Arabidopsis thaliana: one gene and its partners. The protein of the gene in region 1 interacts with the protein of each later gene in a pairwise test. Each region holds a gene or a part of one and is shown on either strand. Other genes may lie near its edges.

Evidence for each region.
Region 2: the proteins of HB-12 (region 1) and COR27 interact in a two-hybrid assay, tested with the Arabidopsis thaliana proteins (one large-scale study listed by BioGRID).
Region 3: the proteins of HB-12 (region 1) and AT5G48430 interact in a two-hybrid assay, tested with the Arabidopsis thaliana proteins (one large-scale study listed by BioGRID).
Region 4: the proteins of HB-12 (region 1) and MGDC interact in a two-hybrid assay, tested with the Arabidopsis thaliana proteins (one large-scale study listed by BioGRID).

The regions. Positions count from the first base shown.
Region 1 is NC_003074.8:22,911,286-22,918,439, forward strand, and holds HB-12 (homeobox 12), read right to left. Parts: upstream 4,109-7,154; 5' UTR 3,955-4,108; coding exon 3,601-3,954; intron 3,415-3,600; coding exon 3,061-3,414; 3' UTR 2,869-3,060; downstream 1-2,868. UniProt on the Arabidopsis thaliana protein: Probable transcription activator that may act as growth regulators in response to water deficit.
Region 2 is NC_003076.8:17,195,118-17,203,103, forward strand, and holds COR27 (cold regulated protein 27), read right to left. Parts: upstream 4,677-7,986; 5' UTR 4,596-4,676; coding exon 4,488-4,595; intron 4,133-4,487; coding exon 3,950-4,132; intron 3,862-3,949; coding exon 3,576-3,861; intron 3,493-3,575; coding exon 3,386-3,492; intron 3,306-3,385; coding exon 3,249-3,305; 3' UTR 3,048-3,248; exon of another isoform or gene 2,802-3,047; intron 2,555-2,801; 3' UTR 2,524-2,554; downstream 1-2,523. Other genes in the region: SCP2 (sterol carrier protein 2), read right to left, coding at 159-261, 526-586, 668-793; AT5G42895 (ECA1 gametogenesis related family protein), read left to right, coding at 1,678-2,046; AT5G42905 (Polynucleotidyl transferase, ribonuclease H-like superfamily protein), read right to left, coding at 6,297-6,324, 6,458-7,206. UniProt on the Arabidopsis thaliana protein: Together with COR28, involved in central circadian clock regulation and in flowering promotion, by binding to the chromatin of clock-associated evening genes TOC1, PRR5, ELF4 and cold-responsive genes in order to repress their transcription.
Region 3 is NC_003076.8:19,625,498-19,632,889, forward strand, and holds AT5G48430 (Eukaryotic aspartyl protease family protein), read right to left. Parts: upstream 3,671-7,392; 5' UTR 3,616-3,670; coding exon 2,395-3,615; 3' UTR 2,137-2,394; downstream 1-2,136. Other genes in the region: AT5G48420 (uncharacterized protein), read right to left, coding at 865-1,293; AT5G48440 (FAD-dependent oxidoreductase family protein), read right to left, coding at 4,435-4,533, 4,613-4,701, 4,798-4,956, 5,075-5,246, 5,480-5,645, 5,890-5,960, 6,049-6,263, 6,545-6,694 and 1 more; sks3 (SKU5 similar 3), read right to left, coding at 7,294-7,392.
Region 4 is NC_003071.7:4,740,185-4,749,581, reverse strand, and holds MGDC (monogalactosyldiacylglycerol synthase type C), read right to left. Parts: upstream 6,421-9,397; 5' UTR 6,195-6,420; coding exon 5,877-6,194; intron 5,316-5,876; exon of another isoform or gene 5,260-5,315; coding exon 5,087-5,259; intron 4,992-5,086; coding exon 4,830-4,991; intron 4,009-4,829; coding exon 3,867-4,008; intron 3,776-3,866; coding exon 3,551-3,775; intron 3,467-3,550; coding exon 3,404-3,466; coding exon of another isoform or gene 3,368-3,403; exon of another isoform or gene 3,364-3,367; coding exon of another isoform or gene 3,358-3,363; exon of another isoform or gene 3,338-3,357; coding exon 3,263-3,337; intron 3,189-3,262; coding exon 2,949-3,188; 3' UTR 2,772-2,948; downstream 1-2,771. UniProt on the Arabidopsis thaliana protein: Involved in the synthesis of monogalactosyldiacylglycerol, the major structural component of photosynthetic membranes and in the chloroplast envelope biogenesis.

The DNA of each region.
Region 1 (7,154 bases):
TACTTATTTTTTTGTATTCAAAGATACCGGAAAAATGTTGGATAATTTTCGATTATACAAATGATCATATAATCCAAATTTATTTGGCAAGTAAAAGTTTATAATAATTCAAACAAAATAGATATAGTATTTTAGACGGAGTAATGAAAACTAGTCAATAAAAGAGAATATGTGTTAATAAGGTGAGGACCGAAGACTAAGAATGAGCTGAATTGTGTCAACACAAACACAAATTCTGATTGCAACTTCCCACCTAATAACAATGATTCATAATTAGAAAAAATTGAGAGAACATGCTTTTAGATAAAATCACGAGCCAGTTTTGGTAATTCCATATAATTAATTACCATCAACAAGAATGGAAATATGTATATGGAAAAAATTAAATTGTAAGCGAATGTTTTGTCATTATCTAAAAACGAGAGAACATTATTGCAATTAGGACCATTAATTTGTCTGAAATTTGTCATTTGATGAGTATGATAAGTCAATTTATTAGGGGGACACATCTATATATATACTACTAGTCTACTAGAACTTAACGTTACATGATAAATGTGTGTTCGTTGCCCTATTAGAAGGGGCAAATTATTGTAACATGTTGTTAAATGTTTTTCTGTTTACAAAGCTATTTGCAAGTGTGTATGCCACCATATTCAATCATCAAACATAGGTTAAGGTAGATTACAAAACTACCACTATATATCTAGGACTTAAAAAAGAGTATTAATCATAGATATCATAACTCATAATCGATTGACACACGAGATAGCTTAAACGATGCAGAATAAGCAAATATTGTATTTCAATTGGGGTTGGTGGGTGAGCTATATAGTTATCAAATATGTATAACGTTCCATTTTTACAAAAGCTGACTAAATCTACGAGCAAATTGCACGGATTCCTTAATCCGTTGTTGATATGATTACATAATCATATGATTAGATTAGATATTAAACTATTAAACAATAAACCATGCCATTCAAAGGGTAAATAACTTTATATTATTTTACTTCGTATGGTATTGGTACCTCAGTGGACCGTCGTAGCTAGGTACACAGCATCCTTGTACTTTAGAAAGTTGGCTAAACTTTTGCATAGATTAATGCCAATTGATTTGCTCAATATGTGTGGGAATATTAATCTTAGATATATCGAATAATCTGTTGATTTGGTTTTAGTTTGCGGATCAAAAGACCCTATTTATTATAGATTTAGTGTGCATGTATTCCATTAAGATTTAAGACCATACTTATTTTTATCCAATCATTTAAATAAAAGTGCAATTTGAGCTGGTTTATTAGAACATAGTTATATTTGAATTCGAGTATAATTACCTGGCTAGTTATGTATTAATGTTCATGAGAAGTATGACTAATGATCTCATAAATAGTTTCTAGCTCTGAATAACTTTTATATTACTCTAAAGCATATAGGGTTAAATTTATATCAAAGACAAGTTTTAAACTAATTCACTGATATAAGTCACACCAAAAAATTCAGACAATTGGAATCTATATATGTCACACTTCAAATTTCACTAGTTTTAGACACGACCACCAGTGATGACATAGTCTGATATGCTTAATTACAATAATATATATTTTGCTATTTATTACCAAGTCATATATATTCGAGGGTCTAAAAATCAAATAAAGCAAACAACATGTCGAATCGTGGAGTTGAATCGGAAACTTTTGACAGTCTCTGTCACTAGAAAAAGCAAAAAATAGAATAACACAAAAGAATCTTGAACTTTGGAATTTATCACAGCAGGGAAATAACCAATCAATCGACATCCGTGTTAAACAAAACAAATTTTATATATATATGCGTGCATGTAATATTTTTCTTTTTTGATTACCAAAGTAGGTTAAATTCCTCACCAGCGATATTTGTGTGATTTCTATTTGTACAAAACAAATATATTCTCACTCAGTAAAGCTTTATCTCTTTTGAGAGTAAAAGATCTTGTCAGGTCAAAATGTGTATGTATAGAAATTTAACAGTGGTTTTTCATATTTTATTCACTGAAAGTATCCAATATCTAGATATTGTTCTTGGTCCAAGATTTGGATTTGTTTCGAAGATAAAAAGTAAAATGGAAGTGATATGCAAACCCTGTTGGGTAACTCTTTCTAAGTTGGGTTTAGTTTGATGAATAAGAGTTTTAAAGCCCATCGTGATAAGGCCCATATTGTCCGACCCATTTCGAAGGGTTTGCTTTATACAGGAGCGGGACTTTAAAAAAGGAAACATATGAAAGAGACGTTGAAAACTTCAATTCCCAAAATACCCCCATATTATACAGAACAGAACCATAAGAGAAACATTGGTTTGCTTTGATTTCTCAAGGAAGAAGGGATGATCCAGGGGCTACCGTTGCTACAAGATTAAGGACACTATAAAGACTTGACTTAGAGCCATTCTTTTACATTCTGTTGAGAGTCTGGTTACAAAGCACATGTCCCACATGACATCAATCATAGGAAGATTATCATGACTCGATTGTTCCTTATAAACTGGAAAGACAAACACCAAAAGGAACTAGTTCTGCATCTACAAGAAGTTGTTCCATATCTGCCAATCCAGCTACAAATATCTCATAGGAAGGGAGTGACAGAGTAACCTGAGCTGATGAACCGGAATGTGATCAAAACTGATATTTGGTGATAAAATTCATAGACAATTCATCTCGAGGATATTGAAAGCATTATAGCAGAGCACCAATATAGAGATAAATGCACTTAGTTTCAAATTTAGGTCAATTTTTAGTCCGTTTCGAGATCATTATGGACGAAGACTCTTGTACTTGTGATCATTACGCTTGGTCCAACACTCTTAGAGCCAACTTGCAATCACAAATTTAACCTTGGTGACTTCAAAACTTTTCTAGTCTCATTATAAGCTACTAATTAGCTACAAAGAGTATTGAACATAGTAGATACATAGATCGAAACAAGATTTAAACTAAACTAAATTTATTTTTCTTAACACATAATTTACAAACTATTCACACTCTTTCTCTTCGCTTATGTTCTGTTTTTTTCTTATATGCTTTTATGACCAAAACTCCCACCAGTTAGGGTAATTGCTGCTAGATTGGTCTAAGAGAGAATCAGAATTGAAACCTCCCCAATTCTCAGAAGATGTCAAGCAACTATCATCAGCTTTCTCCACAATGTTCATCAGCTCATGATCAGTCTCTTCCTCGAACCCAAAATACTCTGTTTTAATGTTGTTGTTGTAATCACCATCATTACATAGAACACTCCCTTGGTCTAACCTCCCTTCTGGCTCACTCTTTCCATTATGCGACTCTGTGCTGCTGCTTAGAGCCAGTCCTTGATCACCACAACACTCATGATGCTTTTCTTCTTTAGGCCTTTGCATCTCTTCGTTTAGTCTCTGCAGCTGCAAATAGAGATTGATTAATATCAAATTAGGCAAAATGATCGAGAATTTACATCCCCCAAAAACCAATAAATGCCAAGACTGTATTTGCTATTTTATACTTTATAAAAAAAAAAGATCATTATCAATTATTGTTTCTATCACTGTTCAATTAAAGATAAAGATATCGATAGAATCATTATGTACCTCAGAGACCAGAGATTGCTTTTCTTTCTTCATGATTTCAAATTGTGAAGCCAAATTGTTGTAATTGGCTCTAAGAGTGTTATACTCTTTCTCAAGTTGCTTAGTTTTCCATCGAGCCCTCTTGTTTTGAAACCATATAGCCACTTGTCTTGGTTGCAGCCCTAGCTCTCTAGCTACCTGAACCTTCTTCCTCGGCTCAAGCCTCGTCTCAGACTCAAATATAAGCTCAAGTGACTTGATCTGTTCCTCGCTAAACCTCTTTTGGTTATTGCTCTTCTTCATCTTCTTCTTATTCATGGTCATGCCACTACTAATCTCGCTGAAACAGCAGTTGAAAAAATCTCCTTCTTCCATGGTTTTCACCAGATCTTGTAAGTTTCTTGATTTTGATTAAGAGAGAAGGTTTTGGAATTATTTGTTTCTTTTTTTTCTTTCTTTCTGGAATCTCTGAGTTGCTGATATTGGCCGCTTATATATAATGTGGGAGTTACTATGTGTGCTTGTGTAGGGCCTCGGATTTCTATTATTTTTTATATTTGGAAATTTCATTATTCAACCAAGACAAAATAAACTCATTGAATAAAAAGACCTGCAAATATTGTGGAACCACGGGCTAAAAATATACGTCCAAAATTTGTGGCTCGACACGAATTGGCTCATGTCTCTTTCAGTTTAAGTCGTATTTCATTTAGATGTGAACTAATCATCTAACTACTGATAATATTTTCATACTTTTTTTCCTTTATAATATAAGTATTATCAGCTTTTATATGTTTCATGGAAGTGATCAAGTGAATGATAACGTGGGTTGACAATCAAACGGGCGAACTGGCTTTGGTTACATCAATTAATCACCATACATATTTTACTTTTTAACAGTTTGGCCGTTCCTAAGAAAAATGAAGCAGTTTATAATGAAACAAAAAAAAAAACTCGATTATTTTGCTTTTCTTGCATATAAAAGGCATTTTTGAAAATAGAATTTAGCAGCAGCCTAGATGATCGTTGTACTATGTTTTAACATGCAACAACGTATATCATCATTTAACATGTGACTGCCAAGGCCTTGCGATACTTTTATTAGTCAAGATAATATTGATAGATAATCATTACGAAAGAGAGAGAAAGACGGATCGTATTAAGCAATAATTTTATTCGATTGTGTAACGAGATTCCACGTTCACATATCAGGATGTTTGACGGGTGTTAATTAGTGTGTTATAATTAAGATTAAAATAATCTCCATTTTCATTTGAGATTTCATTTGTCGTTACTCGCACGCCATACTTTAGAGGTCGGTTACGTGAAACACGTTTTAACGAGACTTTTCATTAGTGTATTATATACTATGTTCTAAAATAAACCTACTCTTGATTTATCTCGCTAAATTCCAAAAGAAGATTAATCATGGTTAAAATTGTGGCCGCATGTGGTAAGCTGGCAAATAATTTTGCAACTCTTCAATTCATTGCCCAAGAAAAATAAAAAATAAAAAATAAATTAAGATATATTTGCATATCACATACCGTACTATAGTTTACGCGATGTTTTACGCGTTTAATTTCGTTACACGGAAACAATAAGATGATCACGAGTAAGGATTATAGATTTATTGACTTCCATGCAAATGTTTAAAGTTTTAAACTCAATTATGAGATTTCTTGACTTTCTTGTAACTAAACAAGTAATCTGACCTAATTACTATCCTCTTGGTTTCCTTTTCAACATGCCGTTTTAGTTTTCTTCTAAAAAGTATACACAATCCAGAAAAGAAATATAAACCAGTGGTGTTCCTATTATTTATTTGACCTTTTTCCATTTTTCTAAAACCAATAGTACTAAATATAATATGAAATCTAAAAAGATTATTATACCTCTATTAATAAGCTAACTATTATGGATAGAAGTATCTTGTCTAAAATATATGCATTAAACATACAAAATAACAGTTTACATAAACAGAAATAAATTAAAATTCTACAACAATTACTTATTAGAAAACGAAGTCAGTGTAGTATGTTTTTTTTTAGACACGAAGTTAATATGTTTATTCTTACAAAATTACACAAGTTCCGTTCCGTCTTAGGCTCTGAAACACTAATTATCTTAACCATGGGATTTTGAAAGTTTGTAATTTTAAGCAACAATATTAATGATAAACGCAACTTATATAATTAATGTTCTAATGATTAGTTTAAGGTTACGTTCACCTTGCTTCTCGGAAATCTCTTTTGACTTATTAAATACAAACAACAAATTAAATTCGGCCATTTGTGAACTATGGCGGCTTCATCGATCCAACGTCACTTTAGCCTTAAGCCATTAAAATTAAAAAAATTATAAATAATCTATTACTTTGCTTTAAAACCAGAAAATTACTTCATGAAAAAAAATATTTGAATAGAATGACTTACATCGACTTATTTCAACAAGGAAATGGACGAAAGTTTTGGTATACAATGTAATGAATCAGATCTGTAGACATTTCAGACAAGTAGCAATCAAAGTTGTCAAGATCAACCACTGACTCATTGCCATTTGGCACCATTAAGAAAGCCAAGTTGATGAGAAGATGACGTGGTGATTGCTTTGTGGCTGTGTATGAAAATTGCGTCCGACAAATGTTATCACGTGTCGAGGTTAGCTTAAATGTAGCAGTTCTTGATAAGATGCGTAAGAGAAGATGATTCTTTACTTCTATTTTTTCTTTCATTTGTCTAAGAGAAATCTGGTTCTGTTTAATGATAAAGATTAAACTAGTAATATGGTTTTGAGAAATAAAACTTAAGAAATCAAATTTCGTCCTCTTTAATTAGATTTACATCTTGGCTATGATTTCTAATACTTACTAAACGTAGTTTTGGCTCATTTAATTTGGATAAATTTAACAGAACATATACATAAGACTATAGAGCCTTTTAAAGTCATATTTGTTTAATTATTATTTTTAAGGCGCCTTGTCATTTCATGTTTGTATTTTGCATATTCTTCCAACCTCTTGGCCTTGCCGCGTGTAAAGCTTTTGAAATATTCACAGATTTATAAATATGCACATTCTTCGTAAAGCTTAAATTTCAGTTAATGTATATGAAAATACATACAGGTAATGTTTAGGCTGTTAATTATGATGATCTACTGGCTAAAATAGCACAAACTGTCATTCGAAAATGATACTAAAACCTCGATTTTGTGAAAATAAATAAGTGATCATTAAGCTTACCATAAATACCATGTATAAATAAATACATCTGAAAAACGATGAAATGAAAAGAAATTTTTTTGATGAAATGAATATGATCCAACTTATTCAAGACAAGTAGGGTCCATGATAAGATGCCAATCCAATGAGGAAGAGACATTTATTTTACCACCGTCCTAAAACACAAACTATATGTGATGATAATAACCTTTACAGAAATTATATCAAAAATGAAAAGAACTTATAAAAAGAACTTTTGATGAATTCACTCATTAGTTTATTGATGTTGTTATTTGCAAACTATATAGAGTATACTTTAAGATTAAACTCTCTATCACGCGAAACTCTAATGGCC
Region 2 (7,986 bases), on another chromosome or scaffold:
CTTATAAGCGGTAGATGTGGTTCAGACACAAGATAGAACTTTGGAGAAAGATTATGTTTGTTGTCGGGAATGGTGGATGTAGTGGTTTAGACACAGGACAAAACTGCTGAAACATACTAGTGTAATGCAATTATGCAAAGTAAATGTATGAAACAAACCTAATGAAAGCCATCTGAGGATTCATCTTTCCAGTGGCAACTTTGACAAAATCATCATCCTTGAAGGAGAACGTAGCATCCACTTTCCCTCCTTCATATTTCCCTAATTTCCAAAGATCAAAATAATCAACGGAAAGTCAATAACTAAAAGCAAAATTTCAGATTCTCTTCATTTCAATTCCCAATTGCCATAACCAACAAGAAAAACCTAACCTTTGATGCAAAATCAAATTTCAGGATTCTCTCTTTTCTAAATTCCCAATTACTCTTCACTTTTGTCTCCAATCAAATTTCCAGATTCCCAATTGCAATAATCCCAAAATCAAAACTTTCAGATTTTACCATAATCAAAACAAAAAAAGCTAACCTTTGGTGACTTCGCCTTTCTTCAGATCAACGATGTAAGTAACCTCTTCAAACCCTAATTTCTGAAATTCCAAATCTATCACAATCAAACATAAAACAAAACAGAGTAATAAAAGAAATGATTCTATAAAGAAAGGACCAACCTTTGGAGCAATGTTGATCTGATAAACAAGACCGATCTTCTCTGTGACCTCTTTCCCGGCGTCGGTGGAAAGATGTTCCTTCATCATGTCCATGATTGCATCGGATTTGAGTTGGGTATTCGCCATTTTTTTATTGCGCAGTGTAGTGAAATCTCGGAGAAGAAAGGTGAAAGATTGGATTTTTAAGGATGGAGTTAGGTAATAGAGACAAAGGAGGTGACGTGATCGATAAGTATGGAAAGATTGAGATTTTTGTTAGAGACTGGCACGCTTCCCTATTTGCTTATTCTTACCTCATGATTACTGTTTTTCTATCTGTTTCTATTTTGGGGAGATTTAGCAGACTAATTATGTTGACCAGAAACCAAACAACAGTAATTTTTTTTTTCATCTTCTGCAAATTGCGATTTTGTCCTAATATTTGTTAGTTCCCCTAATTATAAAACCAACTTTTTCAATGAAGATTGAATAACTATGTATGTATTGTATTTAAAAAGCAAATGTTACTTATCTAGTTATTTGGTGTGATTTGCTTTGACATCAATTAGAAAGCTTTGGGACAGTACTTAAAAGGACTAGTAAAAAAAAACGAAGAAGAAAAGATTAGTTTCAGGAGGATTGTTGTTCTGTTTGTTCGTTCTCGCAGGTTTGTGTTTGATTTCATGCTTTTGGGCTTTTGGCCGTATGGGCCTTTTGCCTTGTAATGTTGTATTTTTAGTGGAAAAGGTGTTTGCGTTCATTGATTTATTATGTGAAACCGATTATACTTTTATTTCCTAAATGTTGTAGTTTTATGGAGTTTCAGCTCTATTTGAATTTATAAAACGACTAATTAAAGACCTAATTAAAACATTTCTGAGACGTTAAACTAAGATAATTCAGATCACAATTTCACATTTCATTTCTTATAAATAAGCAAAGATTTAATTGTTGTTTATCAATAAAAACAAACAGAACATGCATTAAGCATATATTTGGTTATACTAAGGTTTTTTATTCAATTTCTCGTTATGTCTATCAAAAATGTGCTTTCACTTCTTGCGGTTTTATGCATCATTGTTTCTGTAAATGCTCAATTGCCACAGATTCCTGGTCCGTTTCCTTTTCCATTTCCGTTCCAACCGATTCCTGGTATGCCAGGATTACTTGACATAACAAAATGTTTGTCATCCGTGATGGATATTCCCAGATGCATTACAGAAATTTCTCAATCTATTTTCATTGGAAAATTCGGTAATTTAGGTCCGGCTTGTTGCAAAGCATTTTTGGATGCTGAAGCCAATTGTATGCCCAAAATTCCATTCATTCCGCTTTTTCCTCCAATGCTAAAGGAACAATGTTCAAGAATTGCTGGTGCAACTCCTCCGACACCAAAATAGAGCTTTAATATATTTTAAAAATATTTGTTTTTTTCTTTTTAATTTATTTTTTAAACTTTTAGCTTACTTTACATGTTATACTCAAAAAAAAAAAAAAACATGATGATACATTAATAAAAGAGTCATATTTGTATTCAAAATTTACTCATTCTTTAAATCTGATGAATAACAATTTGAAACATTGAGTCCATACTTAATTTAGCCTTGCAATGTTCAGAACTTAAAATTGTTTTCATAAATCTTTTAAATATGTCGTAACACAAAATCTATGAACGATTATTAAATTGACTAGTTAATGTCCGATAAATAGGAGGTGTGAAAAATAAATAAATTTTCTTTTTCTGATACTTAGATTCTAAATAATAATCTATATATTTTAAAAAATCAAATTTCAATTTTATACATTCGAAACCAAATTTTTACTTATGTTTTGAATATATTAACTTTTTTGGTAAAATTACTTTAATAGTTTACTATATTAAAATAAAAATTTGAATATATAAACAACCTATATATTTTATTTTTCCGATATGGTTAAAAAATGTTTTCTATTTTTGGTGTTAAATATAACAAACCCAACTTTGTATAATAATAAGAAAAAAATATAACTTTATCATCAAAGTCAACCCACTAACATAGTGGGCTGATTCAACTTAATGGCCCAAAGCACTCTTCTCCCTCACTCTCGCGATCGACTCTTCTGAGACACCTTCTTCTTCTCTTCTTCTCTTTTTTTTTTTTTTTTTTTTTTTGATCCTCTTCACTTTCTTTTCTCATTCCTAGATTCTTCTTCGAAATTAATCAAGGTTTGATTCCAACACATACACAACCCTTAGCCAATTAGCTTTATCCAAACAACACCGTTTGTATAATAACCGGCTCAATTATTTTTTATTATCTTTTACCTTTATTCGACCACCATTTTTATTGTATGGGCAACATAAAAGAAAATTAAGGAACTTGAAATTTTATACTATAGTGGTAACAAGACAACACTAAACCATCAAATACTAATTTGACGTCTTTCTAAGGGTTTTACAGTACAAATGAATCCACTCACATGAGCATATAAATATATTTATAGTTAGGGATATATGATGAAGAAACTTGTAACTAAGGATAGTAAATTTGACTTATAAGTTATGCAAATATATATACATTACAAAATTCTCTCCTCATATAAAGCTTCACCATCTGACCTCTCAAGAAACAGACTTCAAATTTACGTCATGTTGCAAGAGTTTATTGAGTGGAACAACCTATGCCAAGGAAACATTTTGGATCAATAACTCACCACATTCACTAATATGATCAAACTAATAGTGGAGGAAGAAGTTACCTGATCGGTACTCGACGATTCACTCATCATCACCGTCTTCATCTTCTTCGAGCTTCCGTTTTCGCCTTTTATTCCTTCGTTAACAAAGTTCTGATCCGATACCTCTGCTTTAAAACATCACAAGACAAATTTAGAATAGAAACAACATATCTAAACAGAGGAAAGAAACACATTTTTGATAAACTAATACCTTCTCCAACGCTGATTTGGTCGTGGTCACGCGAATGAGAGCTTAGCTGCTTGAGACTAGAGGCTGAGCCAGAGCTGCATATTCCCTTCTTCCCATTAGAGCTGCTAACAACTTGATTTTCGGGCTCATCCGTTACCGGGATTTGTGTCTTTACTAAAGGTTTATAATGCTTAATCCATGGACTCCTAAGAAACTCATGAGAATTACCACCGTGCCTTCCGTTAATCCGATGTTCAGGTTGTTTCACATTAATCTTCTGCCAGAAACCATCATGAAGAACCTTGAACTGATACCATAAACATACATTTCAATGATCCCAAAATCTTCTTAACACTATAACATCATCATCATCTATTAAAAAAAAAGTGTCATACCTGTTCTTGAGACGGTTTTCTACCGCTACCGAACCTCGTTGATTCGGATACATTCTCGTTCTTCCCGAGAGCTCCGAGCGAGTTATATAACTGATCTACGAATGAAGCTTCCATAGATTTAAGATATAAACTATGCTTCTCATTAGTCCATTCTGTTTCCATATACTCTTTCCCCGCAGAGTACTACACCAAAGTTCACAAAAATGATTTTGTTACAAAGTTGTCATTACACAGCTCAGAATCCTTATGTAGATATCAAATCTATAAACATCTAATTATCTCTTCAATCGCAAAGAAGCAACCAAATTCATCAACAAGACAAATATCGAACAATTTATGTTCATTAGTGTAAATAAACTCTTTCGTTTACTTCACAATAATCAACAATAAACGCACTAATTCCATCAAAAACGTTAAATCGCCGTAAAAATTCAGATCTGAGCAGCGAACACGACGGAGATTCCGATTCCGGCGAGGAAAAACAGACATGCAAAAATATCAATGAAAAAGAAAGAAAACATGGAATATGTATAAATACCATGGAAGAAGTGGTCTCTCCCTCCACGGAAGAAGCATCGTCGGAAGAATCGTCAGAGTCATCGGAGAAACGACGGCTACTAAAGCGTCCTCTGTAATCACCAACCATTGTTGGCTTATCTTTGTGGAGAGAGAGAGAGAAGAAGAAGAAAATGAAAAATATCAGAGAGAAAGAGAGAAACAAAATATCAAAAGAAACGATACAGTTGTAGACGCTTTTACACGTGGGTAAAGTTGCCACGTCATCACCAGTCAATTTGGCGGAATGAAGAGATGAAACTTTTTGGTTTTAGATATTTCAAACACAAAAAATATCAAAGATATTTTCTTCAACTGCAAAATATCTTCCACCGTCCTCTTCTCCTCTCTCTTGATTATTCTTTCTTTTTTTCTTTTTTGTTGCTTTTGGTTTAACTTCTCTGACTTTTTTTTTTTGTTTATGATATTTTCTCTTTTTAATCAATGGAAAGTAGACAACTCATTCTTAGATATTTATAAATAATTTTATAGATTGCCTTTTTTAAGACGGCATTTTAGGATTATTTATTGGGACGATTCACTTTTCTTATTAGAATAATTGTACCACATGCAATGAGGATTAACGATGATTATGAAAATAGAAATAAATTGACTATTACATGTCTCTTTTGGAAGAGTGTTTTTTTTTTCCCGAGACATTTTTTGTTTTATGAACTGATTTATATGATTTTATTTTTATCATTTAGCTAGTTAGGGTGGAATTAATATGTGATTATTTCATGTATTATGTGAATTTCTAATTTATCAAATTATTCTTCTTTTCATCATATGTAAATATATTATTTATAGTGTTATATTATATTTACCATGTCAAAATATTCATTCACGTGAATATTAAATAATGAGATTGTAAACGTAAAGTTTAATAAACTTTTGCGCTAAATTCTACCTAAAAATAAATTTTGAATACTTATAAATAGGTATATTCAATTTTTCTGTTTAAGAGAAATGGTAAAATATTAAAGTGGAGACATAATCTTAGGGAATTGAAAAGTAAAAAAAAAGCTTACAGTTTAGTTTTAAGATAGATCTATGATTTTCAAGAAAGGTTATACAAATGATCAGTTTGGATCAATATACTCTACCATGTAAGATTCTATGAATTATAAATTACCCATTTAACCATTTTAACTTATCCAAATAATAAAAAATACTTAAATACTCAGTAATCTTAAGAAACAGGAAAACTCCTTCAATTTTAGTTTAAGATAGATATACATCTTTTCAAGAAAGGTTACACCAATGATGAGTTTGAATAAAAATAATTTACTCTACCTTGTAAGAGAAGGGTGAGTAATTATGTGAATATACAAATTAATAAATTGTAAATATGTCTTCTATCGTAGTGCTTATTGATTGTTGTAACTCTTTGCAAAATATTTATTTAAGACTTTTAATTATATGAAATAATTTAAATTTTAGAAAATTGTATTTCTTTTTTATAAATTTTTATCTATACATTTTCAGTTAAGGTTTTGTTTTTCTCCTTAAGTTTTACTTTTGCTCTAATTTTCCTATCACAACTCTTCGTTATAGATGGTTGTGTACAAATTACAATTAAGTATTTTAAGAATGCGTATCTTTATCTTAACTCTTCTTAAATAAATTTTTATTTTATAATATTTTAAAAATTGTATATATTTATTATTAATTTTTTGTTCGATATTTTTTTTATAAAATTATGTCCAGTCTTTTTTTGGTAAGTGACCGGGAGACAATTGCCTCCCGTGATTTATTAAGAAACTAAAGAAAAGTTACAAACGAACTCGCCTTAGTTGAGTAGACCCAAGAGTATCCTCCTTCAACAAAGATGACATCGCATCGGGAACAAAATCAAAAGAATGAAAGCCTAAAGATAACAAAATTGTATAGTTTGCTAATCCGTCCGCAAGACAATTAGCTTCTCTATACACGTAAACAATTCGGACCAACCAGTCTTTCTGTAGAAAGTTGTGGCACAACCGCACCAGGAATGACAGCGGATGAGAGTCACTAATCCCTGTTTTGAGGAAACCCACTATCGCCTCTGAATCCACCTCCAACTCCACTCGAGGCACCTTCTTCTCCCATGCGAAATACAATCCGTAATACACTCCCCATAGCTCTGCATGTTGAGCTGAGCATCGGCCTATATTTAGAGAAAAGCCACCACACCAAGCTCCTTCACAATCCCGTAGTACTCCGCCTGCAGAAGCCAGCCCCGGATTTCCACGAGACGCCCCATCTGTGTTTACTTTCACCCAACCCACACATGGAAGCACCCAACCAATCAGCCGTTCAACTCTAGGTTGCGTACTTCCAACCAAAGCGTTACCCAAATGTGCTCTATACACTTCCACAACCCACTCTTTAACAAATTTCACACGGTCCCTGCATTTCGTGTTCTCCCCAAATATATTACTGCATCTCCACTTCCACCCCCACCATATTATCACCGCAAAAATGGTGGACCACGGTATATCCTCACAGCTACTCCTATCACACAAGTTATCATAGAGCCATTCAAACAGAGATTTCGAAAAGAACCCCTGCTGCCTCCTTCGCGGCACAAATCTGACCCAAATCCCCAATTGAGCTGGACAGTCTCTAAACACGTGAAGCACAGATTCAACTCCACCTATATAAACCTGAGACACATTCGAGGCGCTAAGATGTCTTCGATGCCGTTCCTCATCTGTCATAACTATGTCCAGTTTGGTTATATATACTTTCTGTTTATACTTATATTTATATATATTTTTCCTAAATATAACTATTACTTTTGATTATTTGTTAAACATGTCCATGGATTTAACTCAATCTCAATAAATGCTTCTTAGTCTTGTGTCTCTTTATCATAATTTGTTGTTGAATAAATTTTTTATTTACCATTGTAAAAAAAAAACTGAAAATTTGCGTAAAATCATTGTAACTCTTCTTTTCTTTTCTTTTTGACTTTTTGTCAAACGTTTTCTTAATCATTATAACTCTTCATTCGATATGTTTTCAATTAGGATCACATCTTTCACTATGATGTTGTTCTACTGCTAATATAGTCTCGTTAAATGCTTTTGAGGGTTACGTCCATTTACCATATTCTTCGTAAATGTATCTTATATTAGTTATGGTTAAAAACATATTTTCAAGGTTGTCTCAATCTATTAGAGTCATGTCTCTGTGTCATAAACTTTGATTTCACCTTTAGCAGATAATTTTAATCTTATGTTTTTATATTTTTTCATAGTATTTTATAATATACATCATTTTGAGTTCAAATTCTTTAGTAAATTTTATAAAAATTTAAAATATTTTATCGTGCAACACCACCTATAAAAAACCTATAGTCCACCCTTTTTATCTTCTTTTCCTTAGTTATTGTATCATTAACAAAAACTCCAAAAAAAAAAACAAGAAAATATGTAAACCAAAAGCCAAACATCAGTTAAAGTTACAAATTAAAGCCATTCATGGTCTAAATTTCT
Region 3 (7,392 bases), on another chromosome or scaffold:
GGGTTTGGCGCTTTTTAGAAAGATAAGAGATGCATTAGTCGGGACTCGGGCGGTATCTTCGGCGCTATAATTTTAATTGGGCTTTTAATGGGCCTGAATCTTTTGGGCATATTATCCATTTATGTTTGGAAGGTGCATCAACCTTTTTTGAAAGTATACATGCAGTATAGTATTCATCGCATTCTTGTTTTTTTATTTTTTTTCCCTGTTGTCTATTTGAAGTCGTTAATTTTTTTCAGTTTAACTGGTTTTTATTATGAACTACATTGAGAATTTAGAAGAAAGAGTGCTTCATGTATTAAACCAATTGATGATATATTCTAGGGAAAAAACCTCACTAACCAAAAACTTAATTAAATAAACAAACCCACTTGAAACCAATTAATATTACATATATTAAAACATTCGTCAATGTTTTTCGGTATATTGAAGAAAGGGATTAAAATCTTCAAGATTCGCATGGACTAAGGAGTGTAAATTAATGAAACGTAAATGCTGCTTCATTGATTAACTTCTGCAAAGATGTCACAAATTCATATGACACCTAAAGATTATCGTTCATACTATACAAAAGTAAATATCGATTTACAAAGATTGCAGAAACTAAACCATACAAGAACAACTGAAATCATGTACAATCTTCAATATTCTTCATGGTTGTACGTAACTACTCTTATCAAACTAACTCTTCTTCATTGATTCTTCTCTAAATATCGATTTACAAGATTCCAGAAACTAAACAATCCATGAACAACTAAATCAAATCCTCAAAAGACATCCAAATTTCAACACAGAAACTATCCAAAGTAACGCAAATCTGAAATGAGCCAAGAAACAACTTTTTACAACGATCTTTAAGTCAAATCAGCACCTGAATTTGATATCGAGTCCATGCTTGCCATGAACACACCCAGGTTTCAACTGCGAATACGAATACTTCTTCTTCTTCAACGTAACGTTTTTCCAGAATGTTCTCTTTCCCGTTTTCCTAATCCTCTGAATCTTTACCAGCTCATGATCATCATCGAGATCATCATAGTAGTCAAAGTCATCTTCTTCATCAGTATCATAACCATCGCGATTGATACCATCTTTAACAGAATAACGTGAATCTTCACAAAGAGAGACCATCCTCGAGCAAATACAACCTCCGTCGACGCGATCACCAGAAGTAACCGGAGATGAAACAGAGTACGACGAATCTTTCGTGGAAGTGACAGTATCGGAGAGAGTCTCGAAGTTGAAGGTGAGGGAAGTGAGTGACTTGAAAGTCTCGAGGTCGAGAATCGCCATTTTTTGTTTTCTTGCTTCTTTTGTGATTTTTGATTTTTCACTCACAGAGGAAGAATAAGAAGTTTGTTACAATTTATAGTTTCGAGTTCAACAACATGCAAAAATAGACAAGGAAGAGATATTGGCCGTTTTGTATCTTCTTGTTAGACATGCGTGCTGTTTGTACTACGTGAACAAAAACGTCATGTAGTTTGTAGGTAGAATCGCATAACGGAATGTAGTTTAAAGAAAGCAAAACCTTCTCATGTAGTGTTTGTTCTTCATATGCTTTGGATTGGAGAATCGGATTTATGGGTTTAACACAAGAAAATCAAATAATTCCGACTTTAGTTTACAACTTTTTTGTATTATTACACTGACATTGACATATATCGTTGTACTCAATTAGAAACTTAAAAAGTGCAAAAATGAACGATCCTTGGATTGAACATAATTTGGGATTTTTCACCACTGAAAAAAATCCATTTATAAGCCATTTAAGTTTTAAGATTAGATACGTAGCACTTTGAATGAGAGTCTTATATATTAAGATGCTTGATTTTTAATTAGGTAATTTTATCTGGTGGTTTTTCGAAAATATCTTGCCATACCAACATACTGTAATTAGAGATGTACTAGAGTTAGCTCATCCCACTTGTAGTTTTGTGAAAAAGGAGCTAACCAAGTAGCTGAGGTATTTGCTAAATCTGCAAGAAGTCACTTCACTAACTACATATCGTTTAGTAGTCATAGTAGTTTAAACTTATATAACCCCTTTAATATAATGACATGGTTTGACGAAAAATAACCAAATAAATCACTAATAGTAACAAAGGAAGTAAGAAAAAAATCATCAGCAATAATTGACATGGTTTATCAAACTTATGTAACATCTTTAATATTATATAAAGTGAAATGACTTGTCGACGCAACTTATATATTAAGGTTCATTAATAATAAGATAAAACTTTAGTGTTTTATTACATTCTTTGACATTCGTCATTGACTAAATTTTTTAAAACCACACTTGACATGAATGTTACATAACAAATGAAGCCAGAGTACTGACAAATAAATATTCAATCACAAGATAATGTCAACTATCAAGTTGTTTTGACATTCTCATGGCCGTGTTTGAAAGTCGCCGCATGAAGCGCTGACCAAACCCAAAGAAGAACTAAATCCAAAAGCAGATCTTCCAACGTCAAACTCCACCAAAGTATTTTCCATCTGATGTATTCCTATCATCACCGCCTGCGCCGCCGCATCTCCTCCGTTGACAAAAGCCAAGCAAGCCACGTCATCGCTGACCTTCTTCATCGCGTTTGCGGGAGACAATTTCCAAATCACACCATTAGCTAGCTCTAGATCGATCCTAGGCACTTGGAAATTTGTCGTCGTCGAAAGACAAAACTCAAAGGGTGTCGTGCTACTGACACGTGGAATACCCGATGTGGCTTGTGAGAATGCTTCGATAAAGACTCTGTATATGTCGCTTCGTAACATAGTGAAAGGGAATATGGTGCTTAGAGTAACGCCTCCATCACCGTTGCGGTCAAAAGCAAAAGCGTTTGGGGCAAACAAGATCCTATTCCCGTTAACGGAAATACCCTTGAGTCCCAAGAAATAGTTGTTGAGTTTTCTAGGGTTTGTAATCAATCGAGTGTAAGAGAGCATAGATCTTGCATCAATGTTTCTGAGCTTGTACGGACCTCCACCAAAGTAAATAGCACCTTTTTTCAAAGGGTTTTCATCAGAAGGAAGACACAACGCAAACTTCTTCTCGAGTCCGAGTCTAGGTCGAGTCAGCTGGTTCCAAGTGGCGAGAGCCGTAGGTGCAAGCCCCGCAAGGCCGAAAACACCGGGAGGGAAGTCTACAAGGAACGGTTGGGGGATGCATAGGTAATAAACGTTGTTGATCGTGACCGAAGGAGATATAGGTTTTAGAGAAGAGATGGATAAATCTCCATAGGTGAATTGGTCAGAGTTACATATACGTTGGAATGGCTCAAAAGCGGTTGCTTGGCAAGCACATACTCCATTGATGATTTTGTTGCTGGGAAGAGAGCATTGGTGAGGAGTGAATCTACGAGTTAGAGCACATACGGGGGAGCCACAAGGGACGATGGGACGAGGGAGACCATCGTTGCATTTACGGACAAGATAGGGACCGCCGATGTGAATGAAAAACTCTTGGTTTGTGTTGAGTGTGAAGGTGAAGATAGGCAAGATTGTGTTCTTAGAGACGGTTGATACTAAGGCTTTAGGTGGATAGTAATTAGCCGAGACGTAACTATAAGTAAAAAACAAAATGAGACAGAGGACAAGAAGACTCTTTTCCATCTTTTGCGTGTTTGTGTTTAAGATTGTTGGAAAGTTTTAAGATATGGATATAATTACTAGGAGAATTAAGAACGTATATATAGCTAATTAGAGTTGACATTTTAACATATAGACATCACACACGTTAATATGTACGAACTTGTACACACAATAATACGGTCCGACCAGAACAACTAGATATATATATTTTAAAAGATTACTATATGTATATCAAGTTGACATAGGAGGGCCAACCATTTAGGCAAAGCCAGTCCTATATGTATGTCAAGTTGATAGATAAATTTAAAAACTACTGATGGATGTAGATGGTCATAGACTCAAAAGACTTATACGTTAATAAGAAAAAGAAAAAACTTCAACTAGCATCACTACTTGTGGTTTTATATGTTTGTTGACAATTAATATTATATATATAGATATATTGAAATAAATAAATAGCAATAGTTTGAATATGGAATGTGATAATCACTGATTTGAAAGTTTTCTAGGATATGATAACCATGTGCGCATTTTTGGTCAAATTCGAATGACATATCTTTGCTAATATGCGTATAAATGGTTAAATTATTGTTTGAGAATATTTTGAATGGAACATATTTGTAATCAACCGTATTAAAAATAGATCATGCATGTCGAAAGCTAGAGAAAAAGTCTGGTTTAAAGACGTAGAATTAGAATTGGTCTTAGTATACTAAAACCGGACTAAACCAACACTAGATTTATGTAGCTCATAGACATTTCCTTTAAGACCCCGTTTATAGCAACCACAATGCTTAAGAGGATTCACTCTCTTAACTAAACCAAACTGCTTCTATTTCATCAGCAACAACGACGCCCTTTAACCCCAAACGTTGAAGTATCCACTTGTGATGGTTTTCCTAGTACCATGTCCGTTACCATTTCCGCTGTTGCTAGAGCCTAAACGATTTCAAGAAACCGTGAATCATGATTGGGTTCTTGAGAAAGGTGTTAGAGGATTAGAATGAATGTTACTTACCATGGAAAGTCCACCTCCTTCATGCCCAGCTGCTAAGTACATGTTTTGTAATCCGGGCACGGATCCTATCACTGGCTTCCCGTCAGGCACTATGATCAGTTAAAAGAAAAGTTCAGGTTTTGTGAACATTCCAAAGGCCGGCTTCAAGTACTTTTGGTTTGGAGCATTAGATGCAAGAAGCTTACTGTAAGGGCGCAACCCGACTCTCACTTTCCTGTTACGGATGAAATCTTCGAGGGAAATATCACGTAACTTAGGAAAGAATTCTGCAGCACGCTCCCATATGCAACGGATGATAAACTCATCAGCTTCAGTGTCGAACCCGACAAACTCACGGCTGCTCCCTGAAATTAGAGATGGCTAAATGAAGATAAGAGATATATTGTGTGTGACTGATAAATATGTTAAGCACACATAATAAGAAGAACATGGATTTTAGTGGACATAGATTGATGAAATTACCAAGAACAAGGTTTCCTGATGTGTCCATTGTGGCTGTCATGGAAATAGATAGCATCCGTTCATCGACATCCAATCCTGAAACTGAAGCACTTTGATGATTCGAGTAACCAGCCTCCATTATCCCATGATTTAAGTGGAATGAATCAAAGTTCTCTACCACAAGCAGATGCCCCTGCAAGGCAAAGTTGGATACTGCAATTTAAAAAAATACCAAAGCAGTCCATTTCAAGAAGCTTGCAAAGGATCTTCACGACAAATAAAGATATACTTGCTGCTCTTAAACAATAATATCCTCAAGAACTTGGCTTGCCAGAATTTTGACACCTCGTGATGACAAAGATACACTTCAATATAGAGATTTAAAACGAGGGAATATAAATTGGGCAATCAGACGAGACTTCAAACCTTTCTTGGCTTCACCGGAACGTCCAGCGGAATGTTGCAGTCTTTAAGCAATTCATGCATCAGAGATCCACTCCAGCAACCAGCAGCTACTATAGTAGCCTTCTTACCATACAAGTTGCGTTTCAAAGTCTTAACGCCAGCAACCACCTTGCTATCCCCATCAGACCTGAATAGAAATACTATTAATAAAACTCTAGTAGAAGAAAGATTAGTAGCGTCCACTGAAGATTTACATAGATTTGGATGAATTTGTTTTTGTGTTTCAGCCTCTTAATTTAAGGTAACAAAATTAGGACACAGCCATGGTTTTTAGTATACAGATATGTATGTTATATCGATGCCTAGATTGGAGAATGCATTTTTAATTTTTGGTTCAGAAAAGTTCTGATTCAGCTACAAAGATTACCAACCTTATTAAACCTGTAACTGGTTCATTATAGAACTCGGCATATCTGCCTGCTGTTGCAAACGCTCTATTACCCTGAGTAACTCAAATAAAACTAAGTAAACCACAAAAGAAAAGTGTCAGATGAGACATTCAACTATCAAATAAATACATAAAAAGCAACCTTCTCGATATAAGCAACCGCACGATGGGCGTCCAACTGTGAATCATCAGGAAGAAATGCAGCACCAGTATTATCATTTACAAGTATCGCAGGCTCCTTTAACAACAACTCAGCACTAGACAAATATTCAGTTCTTAACCCAGCTTCAGATAGCTCATGAACCTTTTGCTTCAGAGCAACACATTCCTCAGTGGTCCTACCAATGAGCAAGCTTCCTACAAGTGACAACAATACACTGAACTATATCATCTATTTTCGTTGACAAACAGAACGTAACTAATGGTGTATATATCATCTATTTTCGTTGACAACAATACACTGAACTATTATTTTTGTTGAACACGACGAAAATGACATTGCCAAAAGAACCTAACTAATAGTGTATAGAACCCAATAGACTAAAGTGAAGAAAGAATCAACACAAGATCATGATCAACAAAGTCGCTCAAAGAGCTCCAAATTCTATACAAACGTAAAGTGGGTAGTCAGTAAAAACCTGTCTTTTTCCAGCCAAGCAACTCTTCAGGATCAAGACCATCATCAGTCAAGCTCTCTGCAAGCTTGTGCCAGAGTTCATGGCTCCTCAAGGTCAAGTCCCACACATCACTGCCTGGTTTCTTGTGTGTCATCCATATATATCCCTGCCCTGAAATCCAAAAACCACAAATTTCAAGTTAAGTCAACTTCATTCACTTCAAGAGTCCAGCTTTATTTGCAGAATCCATAGGTAATGTACTAATGTCAATCGTCAGATCCAATTTGTAAGAGAAGGGTTGAGAATTACCGGCACCGGTGGCGCCGGAGCAAGGTACGGCTTTATCGACAACAGCAACAGATAGATCCGACCCGGTAAGGAATTGGCGGGCTATGGTTAACCCAATGATCCCACCACCTACAACAACAACATCGAAGGAGCTACGAGAAGCTGTGACACGTAGTGACAGAGAAGCTCCATGTTGGGTTCTCTTGGTGGAGCTCCGAGATGAAAATGGGTAGCTCAGTGGTGTTAAAAAGGTGGGTGATTGAAGGAAAATGGAAACCATTGGAGAAGAAGGTTTTTGGTATCGTAAAGGTTTGAACTTTCAAAAGTCAACGTAAGAATTAGCAAAGTATTACACTTCAGTTTTATTATGTGCCAATTACTATCTCAGTGCTTCTTCACATTTCCACCTACTAATCATCTTCTTGTAATATGGAGTTAATCATCCAAGTAGGAACATGAATCCAAGTTCCTCAGACATGAATCTAATATGATATCCGATCCCGGTTTTTTTCGGATATCCGATCCGTTTCTACAAGACTCAGGTCTGTCTGTGCCTTGGCAGTAGAATCAAGAATCTTCTT
Region 4 (9,397 bases), on another chromosome or scaffold:
AAAATTTGATAGTATAATCAAAATTGTGAGACTAATCTGAATTATTTAATGTATTCTAATATGAATTATACATCTTGCTTCAATATATTATCATATTTCTCATATTTATAAAGAAAAATAAATATAAAACTAGTATATTTTAAAACTAATCATTCAATGAGATAGTTATTAAGATAAAGTGGCTATTGTAATTGAAGATGAAGTATTAATAAATTTAAAGACACTAATAATAAATAATTTATTTACTTTGATAAATTTAATAAAATAGAAATTTACATTTTGATACTTTTTATATTATTTGGTGGCATAATATTTAGAAAACTTTCCATATTTTTTTATTTTGTTTTTTTTCTTTACAAAAATCTAAAGAAAAATAGAAAATAAGAATAATTTCATAAATGTTAATTAACGAGATGGCTAATCACAATTGGTTGTTTAAAATCCTATGTGGACGGCAGAAGAAGCAAAAGGCCTCGACTTTTCTATAGTATAGATTAATATACATAATCTACGAAAACGATTGTCGTTATCTCTGAAATTTATGATCAGAGACTTTGTGGGTCTTATTGCAATAGTACACATTTAAGTAGTAAATTTTGATAAGACTACCTTCACATCATCAACCTCCAAACTTTTCAATTATAGAATGATGTACAAAGCCTTGAATAGTAGTATTTTCGATTTTGAAAACTAAAACTAAGATAAATAAATAGGAAAATATTTAGGTTTAAAAAAAAAATCTTTTCATCAAGTAAAAGAAAATTTATTCCTATGAAGTCATTTTTTCCTTTTAAAATTATTTATGTAAGATATATATGTACTAGATAAGACCCGCCTAAAAAGGCGGATGTAAGAAATAAATATAATTTTGTATCATTAATATTTGAATTCTAAATAGTAATAAATATTTTTATTAACATTTAATTTTAAAAAATTTCAAACCAAATTTCAGACTTACACATCCCATATTTTTCTATACACTTTAACTATTTATTTCATATTAATAAACTGCATTTTAATTCTACAAACTACATCTTATCGATGATTTTTGAATTCAAAATAGTATCTTGCTCTCTTTTTCATTTTTAATTTATTATTTTAATTTAAAAAAATTTCCAATCTTACACATTCCATTTGCAATACAATTTAACTATCTATTTAATCATTATAAACTGGATTTTGATTCTACGGACTTCATCTTAATGAATAAATGCTAAAAATATTATATCAAAATAGTGTTATATGATTTTGATTTACGGTTTTGGCGGAAAAACGTCGGTTTACGGTTTTGGGGAGAAAACGTCGGTTTACGGTTTTGGGGAGAAAACGTCGGTTTACGGTTTTGGGGAGAAAACGTCGATTTTCAGGTTTTGGCAAGAAAACGTAGGTTTTCCGGTTTTGACGAGAAATCGCTGGTTTACGGTTTTGGCGGGAAAACATAGGTTTACGGTTTTGGCGGGAAAACATGATTTTCAATTTTGGTGGAAAACACTTTTTGTGATTTCGGCAGGAAAACAATTTTTGTGATTTTGGCGGGAAAACAATTTTTGTGATTTTGGCGGGAAAATGTGGTTACGGTTTTGGTGGGAAAACGTCGGTTTACGGTTTCGGCGGGAAAACATGATTTTCAATTTTGGTGGAAAACACTTTTTGTGATTTTAGTATGAAAACAACTTTTGTGATTTTGGGGGAAAAACGTCGGTTTATGATTTTGACGAGAAAACGTGATTTGAATATTTAAACCAAAAAGTGAAGTTAAGTAGAATAATTTAGTTTTAATGTATTAACACATTAACATTTTTAATAAGGTTTACTAATATAAAATGAAAAAGTAAATGGACTTAATTGGGTACCCATTTATTTGTGTGAAACCCCATTTAATAAATGGGTTTAGTTGGGTTAACTCATTTAATCCTATTTAATTTTTTTCTAAATGAGTTTAAATGGGTCAATTTCTCTTACACAAACCCATTAATTAAATGAGGTTTGCATACCCATATTAACATCACTAGTTATATCATATTGTATCAGAGTTAACAAAAAGAAAAAAACATTATATCTTAGTTAATAATAAATGAGTTAACAAATTACTAAAATAAAAATCCACAAACTAACAAAAAATCTTTACCATTAGTATGACGTTAAATCAACTGTGGTCTTTTTGAAGAGTATTTTGGTTTGGTGAAAAAGTAGGAGACTACCTATTATTTTTATAGATATGAGTATTTTGAATCGTTTTTCTTTTAGGATTAATAATTGATTGTAGTTTCCATAATTATGGTATTTTATATAACAAGATTGTATAATTTCTTAAATCCTTTTTAAATTTTGTAGGAAAAAGTAATCAATTTTGATTAAGAATTAGTAGCTTCAATTAGAATTAGTAAATGATTTTTTAATTTCTATTTTTAATTTAATAAGATACATATATTTTTTTAAAACTTATCATATTTACTTCTCTAAAATGTTTTAGTTTCCTTATACTTATTTTAAAATATATAATTTCTTACAATTGTCTTTTTATAGTCTTAAACTTAATAAAAGAAAATTTTGTTTTACACGTGTTAAAATCTGAGATCGATAAAATTTGCACATAGCATAATCAATTACTAACTTTGAAAACCGTACTTTATATAATAAGTTAGTTTCCTTGTAATTATCTTCTTACATTTTGAAAACTGTTTAAATTTATAATTTACAATTATCTTTTTGTTTTTTAAATTTAATAAAACAAATTTTTTTTATTTATATATGTCAAAATCTGAGATCGATGAAGTTGACACGTGTTACAATCATATGAGTTACTAACATTGAAAACCATATTTTATATAATAAAATACATAAATAAATGTTGAAAAAGACTGATAAAAGAATGACAAACCACTAGAGAATATACATTAATAAGAATCATGAAATAAGAGAAACCTATAGTCTAAACAAACAACACTTCAATAGGAAAATTCATTAAAAAGTGGAATACGTTGTTGTTGTTGGGATAGATGATGGATATCCTTCACAATGTCGAACACGGCTTCAGGTTGCGACAACTTTAGAGCATTCTCTGACATTTTCTTTAATTCCTCTTTATTGTTGCTAAACCAATCCGCCACGATTTTCGCAGTTTCTTTGGGACTTCGGGTGAAAACTCCAGCCCCATTGTCCACAACATACGGCACGTTGCCTTTTTCCTTTGGGAGTCACATACAATAGAGTTAGTTTATGTGGCCGATTAATCCCTAAGGTGAAGCAAAAAAATGTATACCTGTCCAGGAATATAGTCATTGAGGATAATTGGGAGGCCGCAAATCAGTGCTTCCGCAATCGTACCCGGACCAGCCTGTTTTATGTCATAAAATCTTAGTGCTATTTATATGAATGGGTAGGATTCAAAGATATGACTTACCTTAGTGATGATACAATCACAAGCTCCCATCCATTTTTCCATTTGTGTTTCAAACCCTCGAACCTATAAACGTCACAAGTATATATTAGTTACTTGGTATATAAGTATATAGTAGAAGTAAAAAAAAAATTATATTTTAGTTTGTACCTTGACCGGAATCTTCCATTCATGAGATGCTAATGTAGAAGCAAGGACTTTGTTCCGGCCGCATATGACAATCAATTGTCCTATTGGATTACTTTCTTTAGAGTTGTATAAAGAATCTCCAAGGGCTAGAGCTGTTTTTTGAACCGGACCCATTCCTTCACCCCCTCCCATTAATAGAACCGCAGGTAAATTTAAGTCTATTTCAAGTTCCTTCCTTAGTTCATTCTAACAAACACACATAATAATAGCTATTGTTGATCTTCTCTTGATTGGGAAAAAAAAGATCTCTAAATGGTATGAATTGGACAGAATTTACCTTGTTGAGAATAGTGCGAGGGAAAGATGGGCGGACAGGTAAGCCAAAGACACGGATTTGAGAGTCATCAAGGCCGTCTACTAATGCTCTCTTTGCAACCTCTTTGGACGGACAATAACATCTGCTGACTCCATGATGGAACCTATTACATCAAAATCGAAGATTTCATTTTGAGCTATTAGGTTAATTTCAATGTTTTAAACCCTGACCCGGACAGTGAACCGGATTTTCTTCTGGATCACCGATTAATGGGGTTAACCGAATTAGACCACAGGTCAATTGAATAAAATTTATTGAATATATTTAATATTAATAGAGATTATATAAAATAAAACAAAAATAATTATCTTATGTTTAACAAAATATGAAATCAAACAGTAACAATCAAAGTTTTCAATTTAACTAAAAGTCTAAAAGACTAAAACCGTAACAAATATAGTAGGAGATCATTAATGACGAAAATAAATTAATAAACATTGCGAATTAAAACAACTAATCTCGGTTTCAGTCACTTTAGGCGGAATTGTGAAGACTTCACCAAAATATAAAAAAATCAAATGAGTTTAAAAAGTGAATTTTTTTTCTAAAAATAGCTGAATAGAGTCTAAAATGCTATATTTTATTCAAAAATCGAATATATTTTTTAAAACTCACACACGGCCAGTTCAACCGGTTCACTGGGTCGCGGGTTAATGGCGATTTTTTGTGGATTTTTCCGGGTTTAAAATTGTTGGCTATAGTACTAAACCTAAACCGAAAAAGTGTTTGGGTTGCTGATTAACCGTTCGAACCGAACGGTTTGGGTCGGACGTGAAAACACTGGTTAATTTTAAATATTATTGCATATAATCTATATTTTATTAAATGAAAAGTCATGAGAGTAAACATGCAGGATTAATATGCTAACGCGTGGATTAAACTGATTTTAAGTACTTAGTATATATAGAAGTAATGTCATCTTACCATGTACGGTGGCAAGTGTTTAGATCAGTGATGACCGTAACGAAAATAACTTTCTTGTGAAGTCCTTGCCATTTCATTACCCACAATGGTATGTGTTGCATCAGAGGATGCACGCTAATAATAATGTCCGGTTTGTACTCCATTAAACCGGCCTCTATTTCTCTGTTCACCAAAAGAAGAAATAATCTCCATTATATTGCTAATTCGTAACACTAAGGGATGATAACGAAAAAAGAAGAAGGTTAACATATAAGTACTTGGCATAATAAGCGGCAAGAGCACTTAGATAGCTTTTGTGGATCCATTTGGGAGAAGTACCATGAAACGCAACAGACCAAAGACCAACATGTTTCACCATGAACTTGTACTGTCTCTCCATGTCGTTCAATGGCCATCCAGTGTATTCTTTCCAAACATCTTTTATGATTATCTATAGTTATAAAAAAAATGACATTAGTTCCTAGAGAGAATATTGTAACATCAAAGAGTCAGAGCTAGAGAAATAAATAATGCAAATTTTTAATCATTATTGACAAACAAAATAAATGGAACGTGGGACAGGTTTTAAGACATAGATTGTTGACGTCAGCTCGTATCTCCGACACCCTGGCAAACTCCAAGATTCATACTAGGCTACAAAACTTCCAAGTAGATATTTGTTTCTTTTCGTTTTCAAATTCAAGACGACTACTGCGACAACTTTAATATTGACGGCTGAGATTTCATTAGAATCAGAAACTCCTCTATGATATATTATAACATAATCTATTGGAAAATTTTGTCATAATATAAATACATATTATTCGAGGTATATATTTACAAGCTTTGAAATTTTCAAAATGAATATTTCAAAATATTGTTGTTGTTTTACACAGAAACTAAAAGATAAAAGTATGATTAAGTTTTGTTGCTTATGCAATATTTTTTCGTTTTTTTGTACGTTATATATATGGTTAAGGAAGCATATTATTGGCTCAACCCTATGCGTTGGATTCAAGGCAAAGAGAATGAAAATGAAGATATAAATAAAAATATTAATATTTTTACCCGATAGTCATCTCCGAATTCGATCTTGAAAGCGTCGCGGATGGCCTCGGCTGAAGCACGGTGGCCACCGCCGGTATCACTCATGAGAATAAGAACAGTTTTGATCCTCTCTGCTCCCATCTGCTCCATCTCCATAACTTCTTCTTTGTCTTCTAACCCTCTCTTCCTTAGACGACTCTCCTTCTCATAATCACTTGATCTCTGACGATGGATATACTCATCTTCTACTGTTGAGATGTTAAAATTGCTATAGACTCGTCGAAACACCTTCTCAGTGATTGAATCCGACCGTGTACGAGGTGACACCACTTTCATCATGACTATTTGGTGTTGAAGAAAGAATAATAAGAAGACCGATGGTTGTGTTTTCTATGTGGCTGGTTGGTGATCTTTATGTAAAAGATTTTAAGTTCTTTTGGGGTTTTAAATTTTTTGTAGCAAAAAAAATGGAAGACCAAGTTGCTTCTTTTAATAATTGTTTTTAAATTACTTGAGGAATGATGCTGGAATTATTCTTTTTTTTTTTTTTCGGTTCCTATAGTTTTGCTTAGGTATTTATATTTCGTGTCTTTATTGTTTTATGTGGGGCTTAATTTAGTGGTAGAGTAACAAGGGAATATGGCAGCTTGGAGCCGTCGGATCCGCCTTTGGTTTCGGAATCTTCGGATATATGATTCGGATCTTTCTTTGCATCTCAAGTATATTTAAAACAACTTGACTTTTTAAAAATTAAAAAAAAAATATGACATGGATGGTCCTTTTTGTGACATAGGTAAACCGGTTTAGAATCAAAAATTATCTGGTTTGATTAGGTTTAAATCGATTCAGTTAAATTTGAGTCCACTTTTCATATTAATTTAATACTTGATTAATTGATTCAAGTTAGTTTCGATTTTTGTTTAGTTGTTGATATGAATGTTTGTAAACAAAAATAGGTTTCAGTTCAAATGTCTACTTTTGCATCAAATGTACTCATATGGAAAAATTGTCTATTTGTCTACGAGAATTATGACATCATTAGATATTGACCCGCGGTACACAGCGAGTTGATTATTTGCGTTAGAAAGTTAATTGTTGTTTCAATTTAATATAATCTATATATAAATAACTGAGCAATAGTTTTATTTTTTCAACTTACTTGGTATATGTATTTACTTTTATTGATATAGTAGTATGTTTTTTTTACTTGGTTATGTTTAGTTAAGATAACATGTTTATTATACTTATTAGTACATAAAATGTGTATTTTATGATGCATTAGTACGTGTTTTATTATATATTTTTCTCTTTATTACAGAACATTATTAAAATTTTAATTTATTTTAAATTTGATTTTTGGTATATTACTGTAACTATCCTAAAGAAAAGAATGTTGTTTTATATGAAATAGTTGTACATTATGTTTTAAATCTGTGGTTCAATTTTCACAATTTAATTTATTTGGTATAATATAATTTGAAAATCTCATTTTATTTTTTTAGAAGTAGTAAAATCAAGAAAACTTAATACTATATGAAAAATTTATGTGCGATAAACATAATTACAAATATAAATTTAAAAAATAAATATAGTGACATTCAAAGAAATTAAGACTAATGTGGGTATAATAAGTCTATTAACTATTGGGTATTCTAAAACAATATGAAGCGGTATCAGGACATATGATAAATTTTGTAAAATCATCGATTCAGTTCGGGCATAAAGTAGATGAAGCTATAAAGGCAGAAATAAAATCGATCTTGGGTATACATAATATCGGAGGCATGGGTTCCTATCTCGGACTACCTGAGAGTTTAGGGGGATCTAAGACAAAGATCTTTTCCGTTGTTAAAGATCGATTACAGTCGAATAAATGGGTGGTCAACTAAATTCCTATCAAAAGGAGGGAAAAAAGTGATGATTAAATCAGTAGCCGCAACATTACCAACTTATGTGATGTATTGCTTTAGGCTCCCGAAAACAATTACTTCCAAACTAACAAGTGCGGTCGCAGGATTTTGGTGGAGCTCGAATGGTGAATCTAGAGGTATACACTGGATGACTTGGAACAAACTGTGTACTAGTAAATTGGGAAGTGACTAAGGTTTTCGGGATGTAGATGATTTAAACTCTGCATTATTAGCGAAACAGTTATGGCGTCTAGTTTCGTTTCCGGACTCTCTCTTTGCCAAGGTTTTTAAACGAAGATATTTTAGGAAATCCAATCCTCTGGAAAATATAAAATCATACTCTCCGTCTTATGGCTGGAGAAGTATTTGTTCAGTTAGATCTCTGGTTTGTAAAGGACTTATTAAAAAAGTCGGTTCAGGGGCTTCCATCTCCGTTTGGGAGGATTTGTGGATCCCGGCTCAAAACCCGAGACCAGCAAAAAGTAATGGTTTGTGGATGTCGGATCTTGTGCTCGACTCGACCCGCAATTTGTGGGCTTCCAGACAAGGATTGGGCCCGGCCTTAGAGCCCAATGAAAGCCCAGTGGTTCAAAAAGTTGATACGGAATTAATTTAGTAACGGCTGGATATCGACTTGAATGATAAGCATTCAAAGGCCCGAGCTGTTGATCCGCAACGTACGAAGTTAATAGGGGCGAGGTCTGCGGCGTGAAACCAGCTAATCATTTAAGTCATTTGATTCGTTGTATTAGTATAAATAAGAGTCAATTGTCATTTGTAAAGGGGACGAAAACACCTTGTACTGAAACTATACTGAAACTATACTGAAATACACAAATCCGTTTATCATTTGATCATTGTTCGACCGACAAGACTTAAGATCCTCACAAAAACAACCACAAAATTCTAATTGCGGATTCTGGCATCCACAATTTGGCGCTAGAAGGAGGGTAAGTTAAGTCTTTAACTTCAGAGCAACGATCAATTCACCATGAGCAACACCGACGGTCAGAGTTCCGGCGACTAAACCTCCACCCTCGACGACATCAAGCAGCTGCTTCAGCAGTTGTCAGAGAAAACCGACCGGCAACAGCTCGCAGTAACGACACTCTCCGATAAGTTCGTGTTTTTCTAAGAACATTGCAATGGCCAGCTCGCAGCTTTAGCAGCAAACCATTCCGAGATCAGATCAGCGCACAATGCATACGCCGAGCGGGTTGATTCTCTTTCTGCAGGAACGGCGCGGACTACTGGAGCTCGAACGCGACTCAACTTTCAGGGTGTCGCAAGCCCAAGCGTCCAGAATTCGCAGGAAGCTTCTGGCCAGCAATCTCCTTCACCTCCAGTTGACGTCGGGGCAACGTCGACACAGAATCCAGTCATACAATCTTCACCAGCAGGCCTTGCCGCAGTCTCAGATGGGACAATAGCTCGGACGCCGGCTCCACTGGATCCCGCCATCAGACTCCCGATTTCTAATCCCCGACAAGAGCCAAACACAGTCAACTCGGAGCTCCAGAACCTTCAAGATCAAATCTGGGCAATGAACGCAAAAGTTCATCAGGCTACCACGTCGGCCCCCGAAGTGGAAAAAGTTATTGAAGCAACAAGGAGAACGCCTTTCACTTCGAG